Neodiprion lecontei: one gene and its partner. Each later gene encodes a partner of the first gene's protein in a complex. Links are inferred from orthologs where the notes say so. Each region holds a gene or a part of one and is shown on either strand. Other genes may lie near its edges. The genes, in order: protein fuzzy homolog and ciliogenesis and planar polarity effector 2.

Region 1 (4,895 bases):
AATTCTTAAACATTCTTTCGTTTAATCCTTCTTTAATATTCGTTTTGCAAAACTTTTTTCCAGATTATGATTCGCCAATAACTGAAGCAGGAGACTACACACCGAAGTATCATAAAACCAAAGAGATTTTGGCAAAGCATCAAACTGTGATGACCAAATTACCAGATTTACCTGCAGAATCATCAAAAGTAGCTTATCCCACTCTGAAAATATTCGGTCATTTGGATTTTGAGGATATCCTTGATCAGTTGGTGGGTATTTTTCTCTTTACCAATGAAACCTGCGTCCTGCCCTTTTTTTGCCTCTGGTTTTTTCAAATATCTTATGTATTACAGCCTGCAGACTTGAAGGTGAAATTATCCAATGTGACCAATATGGAAAACTTGCCAATTAAAAATGGCAATGGCCAATCTTACGGATACATAAACTACCGGAAAAAGGTTGCATTGAAAACCGCGTCTACCCTGAAAATCTCTGGGTATGTGCAAGACACAGCAATGGTGCTTGTTGACGGAGAGCTGAAGAGCAAACCACTAGAAACTGAAGAAGATATTAATGGCTTTGGTTATTGGATGCAGAAGTGAGTTTTAGCACTTACCGGTCAAATAAAAAACGTGTATTTTCAGTTGATAAGACACTGACATGTGAATCAATTGTTTTAGAGATGCTGAGTTAACATTGAATTCTGATAAAGCTGGGGAAAAAACTTTGGACATCATTGTAGAAAATTGGGGACGTGTCAACTTTGGTGTCCTTGCTAATTTTGATCAGAGAAAAGGTTTGTGGCAAGGGCCAGTTTACGTCGATGACAAAGAGCTAAAAGATTGGGAAATCTATGCTCTTGAGTTTGATTCTAAGTGGGCAAAGTCTCTAACTAATTGGAAACTGGGACCGCCCTCTATCAGCACTAGAGGTCCGTCCGTTTCCCGATTCGTCATAAACTTAGCTTTACCTCAGGATACATTTATTGATTTGCGTGGTTGGACAAAGGGTTTGGTATTTGTAAACGGTTTCAATTTAGGGCGGTACTGTCACCTTGGACCAACAAGGACCCTTTACTTGCCAGCGCCTTTACTTAAGAAAGGACAAAACGAAATTTTAGTATTTGAACATTTCAAGTCAGATATTGAACTGAGCTTCTTAGATTACCCTATTTTGGGAGATTTGAAACCCTGAAGTAACAAAAAAAAAAATGTGAGAGAGCCAGACGTCATTTCTGATTATAAGTGTCATTTTACACCCGAATATCTGTCAGGGACATTTACATACAATTTCGTCAGTACCGCATGATGTTTCATGAAATCAGTTGTTGAAAGAAACGGTCACAAAGCGTTTCGTACATAACGCCAGCTTTTTTAAATACTTATCCAAGTATTGATGAAGTTCAAACATCAAAAAATAAGAACCAATTAAGCATAGTGAAGCGCTTTAGAAATCGTATAAACATATTCATTGTATCAAATTCAGGTTTGACGTCTTCTCATATCTCAATATCTTATAAATATAAGAAAGCAATTCATTAAATACGTAGAAAAAATCTATAGACAACTGAGTATATTTTATTATTTTAATCTGTATTATACTTGTATAATAATATGAATTATATGTACTTATACATATATCTATGGAAAAAGTAGAATCTTGGCAGACTTTTTGTAATGCGCATTCCTGTACAACTGGCTTTGTTAGAAAAGGGGCTATACTTCCTGAAATTTGTTAATAAAAAAATTAGGCCGTACAGCCAGAGAGAAACCTTCAAAGTTACATTACAAAGGCTTATCCAAAAGCTTTTAATTCGTCATTCTACATATCAATATACACAAGTTACCACTTTCGCAACTTTGGCCCATTCTGTACTCGTGTATACTATACCTATATCTGTGTATATCATGGGTTAATGACCTGCCCATCTACCTGCCCATGCTGGTTCAGATCCCATTCCCCTGTTCACAGGTATTAAACTTCAGGTACTCACGGCTGTGAGAACTTTGCTAAAGTACCTAAAACCTAAAACTCATATCTATAATTCTTTTTTGCTGTAAAATGACTGCTCATGTACTGTGCTTAACATCTTCCGGAGGAATACCAGTTTTTGTCCGAAAAAAAGGGGACGGTGATATGGTACAATAAATGATTTTTAACCCAAAACTTCATTGCAGTATAAAATCTGTAAGAGATTTCAATCACTGCGAATGCAAAAATACACTTCAACATTAATTGTGAATCGATTTATTTTTATAGTTGTATCTCTCTACCTTTATAACAAAGTTTTTTTTGTTCCTATGCAAATGACTGAAGTATACGAAATGCTCTAATCTTCAAAGATATTGGAGAAATTCAACTTTTATATCATGTCAAACTATTTCAGATAACGTTTTCGAAAATGGCATCGCTGAATGGTGTGCACATGTTTTTGAAGTCCCAGAACATTGAGCTACTGTGCACAGACATGCCGGACACGAATGTTGTCTGGAAAGAATTCGAGGATAGCATATTACTGATAGCCATAGCCAGCGGTACAACAAACAATGTTCTAAACAGATTTCTAGAAGCTGTTTTCAGTGCGATGATCCTCATCGTCGGTATAGATGAAATAAAAAATCCAAGGAATGTTGAGAGGCTAAAGCGAGACCTGCGTGTATGCAATCCAATTATTGACAGATTACTGGAGTGCTTAGACATCGGAGATCGGATATGCGCCAAGACTGACTTGGTCGATATGACTGACAGTATTATGAGTCCCGAGAATCACTTACTGCAGGTATCAAAGCTACAAGTTCTTTGTAAACAGCAGAAAATATCTCACAATTCTATATTTTTTCATGGTGATTGGCTTATTGATTGAACAAACATAAAAACAAATCTTGAAATTTTTCACAGTCAATTATCTTATGAGAGAAATAGCAGGTCTACTTGATTATAGATTAGTCTATTTGAATACTTGACTGTAATATGAACAAAACCAGAAAAAAGATGATGTGATGCGCAGATCATTTTAAAATGCAAGAAATTTAATTGCCCATCATTATAATTTCTGTGTTTGTGTTTTGTACTAGAGCTGCCTTGAAGGGTACATGGAATGTCTGGATTCTTTGTACGGCTGCCTTTTAGTGCATGGCTGCTTGGCGGTTGCGACTGAGAGTTGGTGGTCTTTGGACCCAATTGAAAGGAAATTACTAATAATTGCAGCAACTTGTGATGGAACTTGCACAGCGAGAGATCTTCCAGTATTCCTTCCAAATAAGAGTCCGAATGTATGAGACGATCATTTAAATATTTAGAAATGAAGTGCCTACGCGAAATGGCATCTAAAATCTTCAATAGATGTTTAAATTGATCAGCCTTACAGTTAAGAAAAAAATTATTGATTTCAGGTCGCCTTCAGATTGGTCTCTGTTACTCTGGTGAATCACGTTGAAGTTCTAGCTTTGTGTGGACCAACACCCGAGTTGGCCGAAACGGAACGATTGGCTATTCAGAGTTGGCGGAGTAGTATAGACATTCTGCGAGCTGCCGAGCAATGCTATCCCAGAAATTTTCCTGCCAGTGTATCATTGGATTCTGAGATATTAGGGTAAAATAATCTGAAGATAATTATAGTAGAGTTGACAGTAGTAAACTTTGCCCCTGACGGAAAGGAACCAGAGATATAGGGTTTATTAAAAATTTTTTCGATTCCAGATTTTTGTTGGCCAATCATGTGATAGGAAAATTTGTTCTGAGTCGGAATTCCCAAAACTCGAAGAACCGAGTCAGTGGAACACATAGATTGGATATTTTAAGAACATTTTACTATCAAGCTGTGGAAACATTTTTGCTTTCCGGCCCGTCTTCGAATCGAGATACTGAAGAAATCGACAAGTCGGTAAAGCCGTCGAAGTCGAAACACGGGCAGGTATTCGAAGGTGCTAAAGAAACTTACTGGTGTTCAGAGTTTCACAAATGTCATGCTCTCAAAGAGGGCGAGTATGTCTTTTGCGTATTATATACGTCCATAGTTCCTACACATACGATGAGACTTCTTTCCCAAAAAACTCTCAAATCGCTCCTTGCTGATAAACAAGTTTTTTGGTAGCAGTTTCTTGAAACTGTTTTTGTTTAATTATATAACGACATCGATTATTCGACTATAACATATTATACAGCTGTTAATATTTTTATAATAATAATTTCTGAAAATAAGCCTAGTGAATAAATAGAATTATATAGATACTTGACCACATTAGAACGTTACATACTTGTAGTATCAGAAAACTGGAGAATATATTTTTGTATGGAAAAAAACATAATTTTATCTTATATAATAAGAATCAAATTTTATACCAATAGATCAAAAACATAGTATGAAATTAGTTGTGACACTACATTTTGAATAATATGGGCTTCTTGACGTAAACACGCTTTTCAAGCAATTTCAAAATAACAATTTGTTTTGTTTCAGCTCAAAAATAATTTTTAATGTACGGGGACCGTGTATCCTGGCTCTTCACTATATATTCATTGATTTTTGAGGATAAAACATTACCTCAATGTTTCTGAATTTTTTTAGTTAGTCTTTATATTGTGTTCTGTAACCGTGAGCTATCGAACCCTCTTATTGTCATTAAATTTGAGAAACTGCAGATTTTTTAAATCTGTTCTGATCTCTCGACTTATTGGTTTTCGCTGGGCACATTTTGCCACCTTACCCATGTATCTAGAAATGATTTGCATCTGAGAACAACAATCCGCACGGCTGTGTGTCCGGTACATAAAGGCGTCGATGCGGATTTTGCATTATTAATCATGGCCCAAGATACTGGACATAGTGCCTGATTGATAATGACATATAATATGCATGCGTGTACAATAGATTGCCTGCCCGCAGGCGGAAAGCATCGAGCTTGAAAATGTGC
Region 2 (5,283 bases), on another chromosome or scaffold:
GGATGAAACCGTCAGGTAAAATAACGACAAGCCTATTCTTGTGTAATTTAACAAGTATGTTGAAAGAAAATTTTACAGGAATCCGTACGCGAATAATCACCTGCCAATTATCTCTCCTCGGGACTCTCTTCATGTTTCTAAATTCTAACTGCGGATCGTGGAACTTGAGTCACTTGAAGGTAAACTTGATAAGCCAACAGCCAAGATTAACTACGGCGCTTCACTTAAGCTTTTGAACGACTTTCAGGCCCTTGATATTTGGTTTCTGATCTGTCTGGTTCTAATCCTCATACCGCTGGCCGAGAGCATCCTAATTCATCATCTAAATCCGGCAGATGTGGATAATTTCGGCTGCAACGAGGTGGAGGATTCTAAGTCTAAGCTTAAAGTCTGAGCTATATTAAACTCCGTTTTCTTTTACAGAACGAGCACGAGGCTGGTAAAAAATGGATCGTTTGGATGGAGAAAGTTATATCGTTTCTGCATCCGTTAGGCTTGCTAATTTCGACCCTCATATTTTTCACGGCATTCAACGGCGAAGGGGAAAATATTTATACGATCAATTGGTGAGAGTAAGTGTATAAATTTTATTTGTTTAAATTTTTCTACCCAGCGTTTTATACGTTATGTTGTTTCTATTTCAACGGTTTTTTTTCTTTTTAGGACGGATCCAACAGTCATTGGGACCAAAAACGGTTAAACTACAATTGCAGGTTTTGTGTGATTGTTGTAATAAAATCTTTATCTTTTCGGTCGAATCAAACTTGTACGACTTGTTTGGATATAAATTCTTGGTCTCTGTCCCAAAGCGCCGAACAAATCCAGTTCAGCTGATAGGAGCAATCGAAGATTTCGGGTCTCGCCACCGCCTTGTTGGTATCTATTCTTATCACTTTCACTTTCCACTTGTCTTCGAATTCCTTGACCTGCACATCGGACACGGCGAGCGTCGACCAAACCTTGTACCTGCGTAAATCGAAACTGAAATTGTTTAAACACTCTTTGATTCGTTATTTCTGCTTCTTTGTTTTTTTTTCCTCGGATTTATACTATCAAATTATCTGACAAATAAACGATATCGTCACCTTGTTCCGACCACGATGCTAGCTGGTTTTTCTTTCGTCGCTGCCATTGAGTTCATCAGCTGTGGAAGGTCGTTGAAAGTCGCCGTATCGTCGAAGGAAAATACACTGCAAATCGCGTCGACTTTGTCTTTGCAGGCCTGCAGGTTGCAAAAAAAAAAAAAAACAAAAAGAGAAATGAATAAACGATTAAAGTGATGTGCGGTGATATTTTCACGATATTTTAGGCGATCGAAATCGATTAATCGATTAAATATATACATATAATATTAAAGTATACCAACGGGTAAAATGTGGCTGTACTTTTTGATGCTGTTCTCAGATGCGTCCCAGAATTGCAATTTGAACAGTACAACCTTGTCCCATATTTTAACAGGCCAGAATATCGTCGTTCTTTTTATACCGTTCGTTTCGACGTAAACTCCGCTCGACGATGATCCTTTTATTCCGGAAAGACGCGACACGACGCAAGTCTTCCCGACACCCGATTTTCCTGCCATGAATATTTTGTACGAGACTTCTTCTATCGACGATGGTATCGGTGGTCTTTCCAATATACCTGCACGGTTTTAAATTATTCAGATCGAAATTTTTATGTGTAACGTGAAAAATTTTAACTGATTATGTTAGGAACAAGGTTTAGTGTAATAGAATTGATATTAGAATATTTTAGATACGAATAGTTTTATTGTAGTATGATTTTTTTAGTTTTTTTCAAAAATACAGTTTTTGTGAACAAATATCAGGTTGTATATGGTGTTACAGTACACTGGTCAACAAAACTTTGTACCTTTTTTGATTAAGATTGTTTTGCTATTTATTGTAATTAATTAACTGGCGTTTATAGTAAGTAACAAAATGCTCTGAATAGCTGTAACACAAAATCTAGACCTGATTGATTCAAAGTATATATGGTTTTATAACGATGAGGGTAGATAGGTATTTCAAAATCAGTAAGCATCTTCCTTGTTGTTATAAAAAAAATTATTGGCAAGTGTAATTAGACGTTGTGTATGTTATGCCCATTAATATTTAATATGTATAACCTTCGTACCGTAAAATCGTCTCTTATTAGTCGAACGAGCGTAAAAGTGATGCAGTAACGACTCGCCTTCGGCGGAGCTGAGCCAGTCCATTTTTATCGCGTTACTCATTTTACAAAGGAGATTGAAAAATCAGCTTTTAATTTTCTCCCTCACTTTGCTGCGGATGTGTCAATGTAAACAGAAAAAAAAATCCATTTCTAGATTACATATAATATTCTAGTTTGGAATTGAGATAAAAGTAGAGGTGAAAAAATTGTCTCAATTATGTTTTTGAAATTTTTGTAAGAATTTACTCAATATTTTCTGTGATACGAGATAATTTTCAACCATCTGATGAAATCATTCCAATATCAACCGCCCATATTTATATTTGTTACGCACACGTGGCGATAAGCTACTTTATAGATAATACGATAAAACGTCCATTCGTTACAATTGTACCTATCGAAAGTGTTTACAGTTCAATGACACAGCGGTCGCAAATATGATTACATAATTGTACACCGGCGATTTGAATATTTACAACAGCTTTTCCTCATGTTATCATACCGGTAGCTGACAATTCGATATCGTTGAGCAACAATCGACACCGCATTCACTGGATATAGTGAAGTATAGTACTTTTCAAGTATGAATCCGGAAACTTGATCTAAGTGTAATTCGAATCGAATGCTTGATTTTCGGTTTTTTCTCCCTTATTTCTGAAAATACGAAGACGAAGATAGGATACTTTTCAAGATTTTTTATTTTTTTTTCCCATCAACTTTTGTCTGACTTATTTTCTGACAAAGTTATTAGGTTCCGATTTTTACGGTTTAAACTTTTTTTTCTACAATAATCTCGGCGGTTGATTGCAAAATTATTATCACCATTTGATTCAGCGTCATCGAATTACCCTTAGATCAAGTTTCCGGCTTAATATGAAAAAGTGGTAACTTTCATGCTTAATTTATTTACTGGTCTATTACATGCACGTGTGCCGCGTTGCGTTACGCTGATAAGCGGGACAAAGTCGAGGATGCCGAATTCTATCGACGGGCCTTCTAAACGCACCAGGAAACCTTAAACGCTTTTAGTCTAATCGCGTCGAGCGAGTGACGCGCATAGTCGTTTAAATCCAGGCGTCGCGTCGAATCGTCATGGACGACGTTCAGGCCCCGAAAGTCAACGGAAAAGTCGAGCGGGTCGTTAAACCCCCGCCGGATTACGGTTTTAAGTTAAAACTCAACCACAAGTACCCAGAAAAATGGAAACAAGCTGCAACCGTGCGCCTCAAGCAACTTCCTCAGCTTTTGCCGCTCGCCTACAGGTTCGTTCGATGCTTTGCATCTTCCAGTCAATTATTTATAACGTGAACAACGCGGTATCTAGTCGCGTAAGAAACGCCCCGAGTAAACATGCGCACAACTCATTGCGCACCCGACTCGCTCGTTTATTCAGATTGCACGACGTTAGCGCGTGAATTCGAATGGCGGGAAATTCGAACGGAGTTTGAATATTTGAAATTCAACGTTTCAGGAATAGTTTTTTCCAGCACATTTTTTTTTTTCGTTTATCCGATTTAAATGTCGAATGATAGATTTTCAAAACGTTTCTGATGGTATTTGAACGGTTCGAATTAGAAAACATCAAGAGCTTATCGATTTTTGGATTTCTAAAACATGGAATTCATATTTTACTGTATGAAACGCTTAGGTTGTTAATACTCTTCATTTTTTAAATTCTATATCACGTCGGCAAACTATTAAAGGAAATCCGGATCTACCGCAGTCCGAATGTAGGAATTGATATTAGATTTTCTGTGAACTGATTCGGTACTGAATTTCAAACTGATAATTTGTATTTAAAAATCAATCAATCGTCCCATCTGGATAATGAAAACGCGAACATTAGCGAATCATTGAGTTTTTATTAATTTTTCATTGCCATTTTTGCAGGTATGTCTCGTTTTTCGCAAGGACAACGAGAGGAGGTCGAAGACCAATGATGGATTACGTAAATATGCAGACTGGAAAACAGATTTACGGTGAGAAAAGCGAATTCTTCATCTTGTTTTACCTCAGGTTTTTCTTATGTTTCTTCACTCCGTGATATTTAAGATGTACCCGGAACTCATTGTCTAGTCTGTACTCAATTATCAGATCGAAAAATTATACACGCAGGTGTACCAATCGGCGGAATTGGAGGTGGGTCGATGAATCGCGGGTTCAGAGGCGAATTCTGCAGATACAGTTTGCGACCTGGTATATACGAGTACGAAACTGTTCTGGCCAATCAATTCATCCTCACGATTCAAGACGCCACCGGAAAAACTGTTTACCATCAAGTTCTGTCGACCGAGAGGTGATATTATTAATATCCTAAAATAAATATTTATCACCCCTGGCGAAAATTTCTACTACTACGACTTTACGCAGAAATTGGAACATTTCGTATTATTTCGTACAAAATTGTAAATATGCATAGTTTTTCATGAAGAATTATTAATTTTGTTTAAAAATTGTGTCATTTAGATTTTTTCACTAAAAAAATACAAATCTTCATTCAAATCTACAAGATTTTATGAGAAACTATGCATACTTACAATTTTGTAAAATTATACGTACTGTTACAAATTCTCTAAAAATTCGTAGAAAATTGTAGAAATCATTTTCACCAGGGACGTTATGAAAAAAGAAAATTTTGTAGAAAAATGTTGACGTTCAATTCAATTTTTCAAATTTTTGTAGCGAAACTATCCGTTGACACACCTGTCTGACCGTATTTATTATTTTTAGCAAACCGAAATGCCTGAAGTCTTGGAAATGGGGATTTGACGGTTCGAAAGCCTCGTATACGGGGCTTTACCCTCGTGCTTGGACAACCTACGATATAGAGGATCACAAAGTTAGATTAACGTGTCGTCAAGTGTCTCCGGTGATACCGAATAATTACAAAGACAGTTCACTGCCTTGCGCTGTCTTCATTTGGGACGTTGAAAACCGCTCCGATCAGGATCTCTACGTCAGTGTCACGTTCACGTTCAGGAATGGTAACGGAAACAAAATCAGCGACAAGGAAGGTTCGTGAATAATTCAAGTTATTCGAAACAATCATCTTTACGTGTCACAGTATAGATTTTCACTCTCTGAAACCGGGAACAATACAAAATTCCA

What was found.
Region 2: the proteins of protein fuzzy homolog (region 1) and ciliogenesis and planar polarity effector 2 are in contact, whole or in part, in a cryo-EM structure (PDB 7Q3E), measured with the Mus musculus proteins. The link is inferred for Neodiprion lecontei from reciprocal best matches to the Homo sapiens genes FUZ and CPLANE2. Residues at the interface, in NP_081652.2 of Mus musculus: Arg26, Arg35, Ile109, Val110, Lys126, Glu127, Arg129, Ala130, Tyr132, Cys133, Asp136, Gln215, Ala216, Ala217, Arg218, Asp219, Tyr220, Pro221, Tyr223, Pro232, Leu238, Thr239, Leu240, Leu241, Arg242, Pro255, Leu256, Gly257, Gln258, Pro261; in NP_001074643.1 of Mus musculus: Glu36, Gly38, Leu39, Leu40, Glu41, Arg42, Val83, His84, His85, Glu86, Thr88, Gly89, Ile90, Gln91, Thr92, Thr93, Val94, Lys124, Phe125, Met128, Glu134.

The regions. Positions count from the first base shown.
Region 1 is NC_060262.1:40,691,074-40,695,968, forward strand, and holds protein fuzzy homolog, read left to right. Parts: upstream 1-1,979; 5' UTR 1,980-2,043; coding exon 2,044-2,121; exon of another isoform or gene 2,122-2,130; coding exon of another isoform or gene 2,131-2,169; intron 2,170-2,368; coding exon 2,369-2,761; intron 2,762-3,056; coding exon 3,057-3,254; intron 3,255-3,374; coding exon 3,375-3,574; intron 3,575-3,681; coding exon 3,682-4,075; 3' UTR 4,076-4,378; downstream 4,379-4,895. Other genes in the region: beta-galactosidase-1-like protein 2, read left to right, coding at 64-251, 336-580, 663-1,176. UniProt on the Homo sapiens protein: Probable planar cell polarity effector involved in cilium biogenesis. May regulate protein and membrane transport to the cilium.
Region 2 is NC_060266.1:22,997,135-23,002,417, reverse strand, and holds ciliogenesis and planar polarity effector 2, read right to left. Parts: upstream 3,511-5,283; 5' UTR 3,438-3,510; coding exon of another isoform or gene 3,268-3,437; exon of another isoform or gene 3,097-3,267; intron 2,286-3,096; 5' UTR 2,237-2,285; coding exon 2,137-2,236; intron 1,642-2,136; coding exon 1,367-1,641; intron 1,362-1,366; exon of another isoform or gene 1,223-1,361; coding exon 1,086-1,222; exon of another isoform or gene 967-1,085; coding exon 759-966; 3' UTR 720-758; downstream 1-719. Other genes in the region: gamma-aminobutyric acid receptor exp-1-like, read left to right, coding at 1-179, 248-361, 424-570; non-lysosomal glucosylceramidase, read left to right, coding at 3,268-3,437, 4,066-4,154, 4,291-4,471, 4,906-5,189. UniProt on the Homo sapiens protein: Required for efficient primary cilia initiation, regulating a late step in cilia initiation. Plays a role in the final maturation of the mother centriole and ciliary vesicle that allows extension of the ciliary axoneme.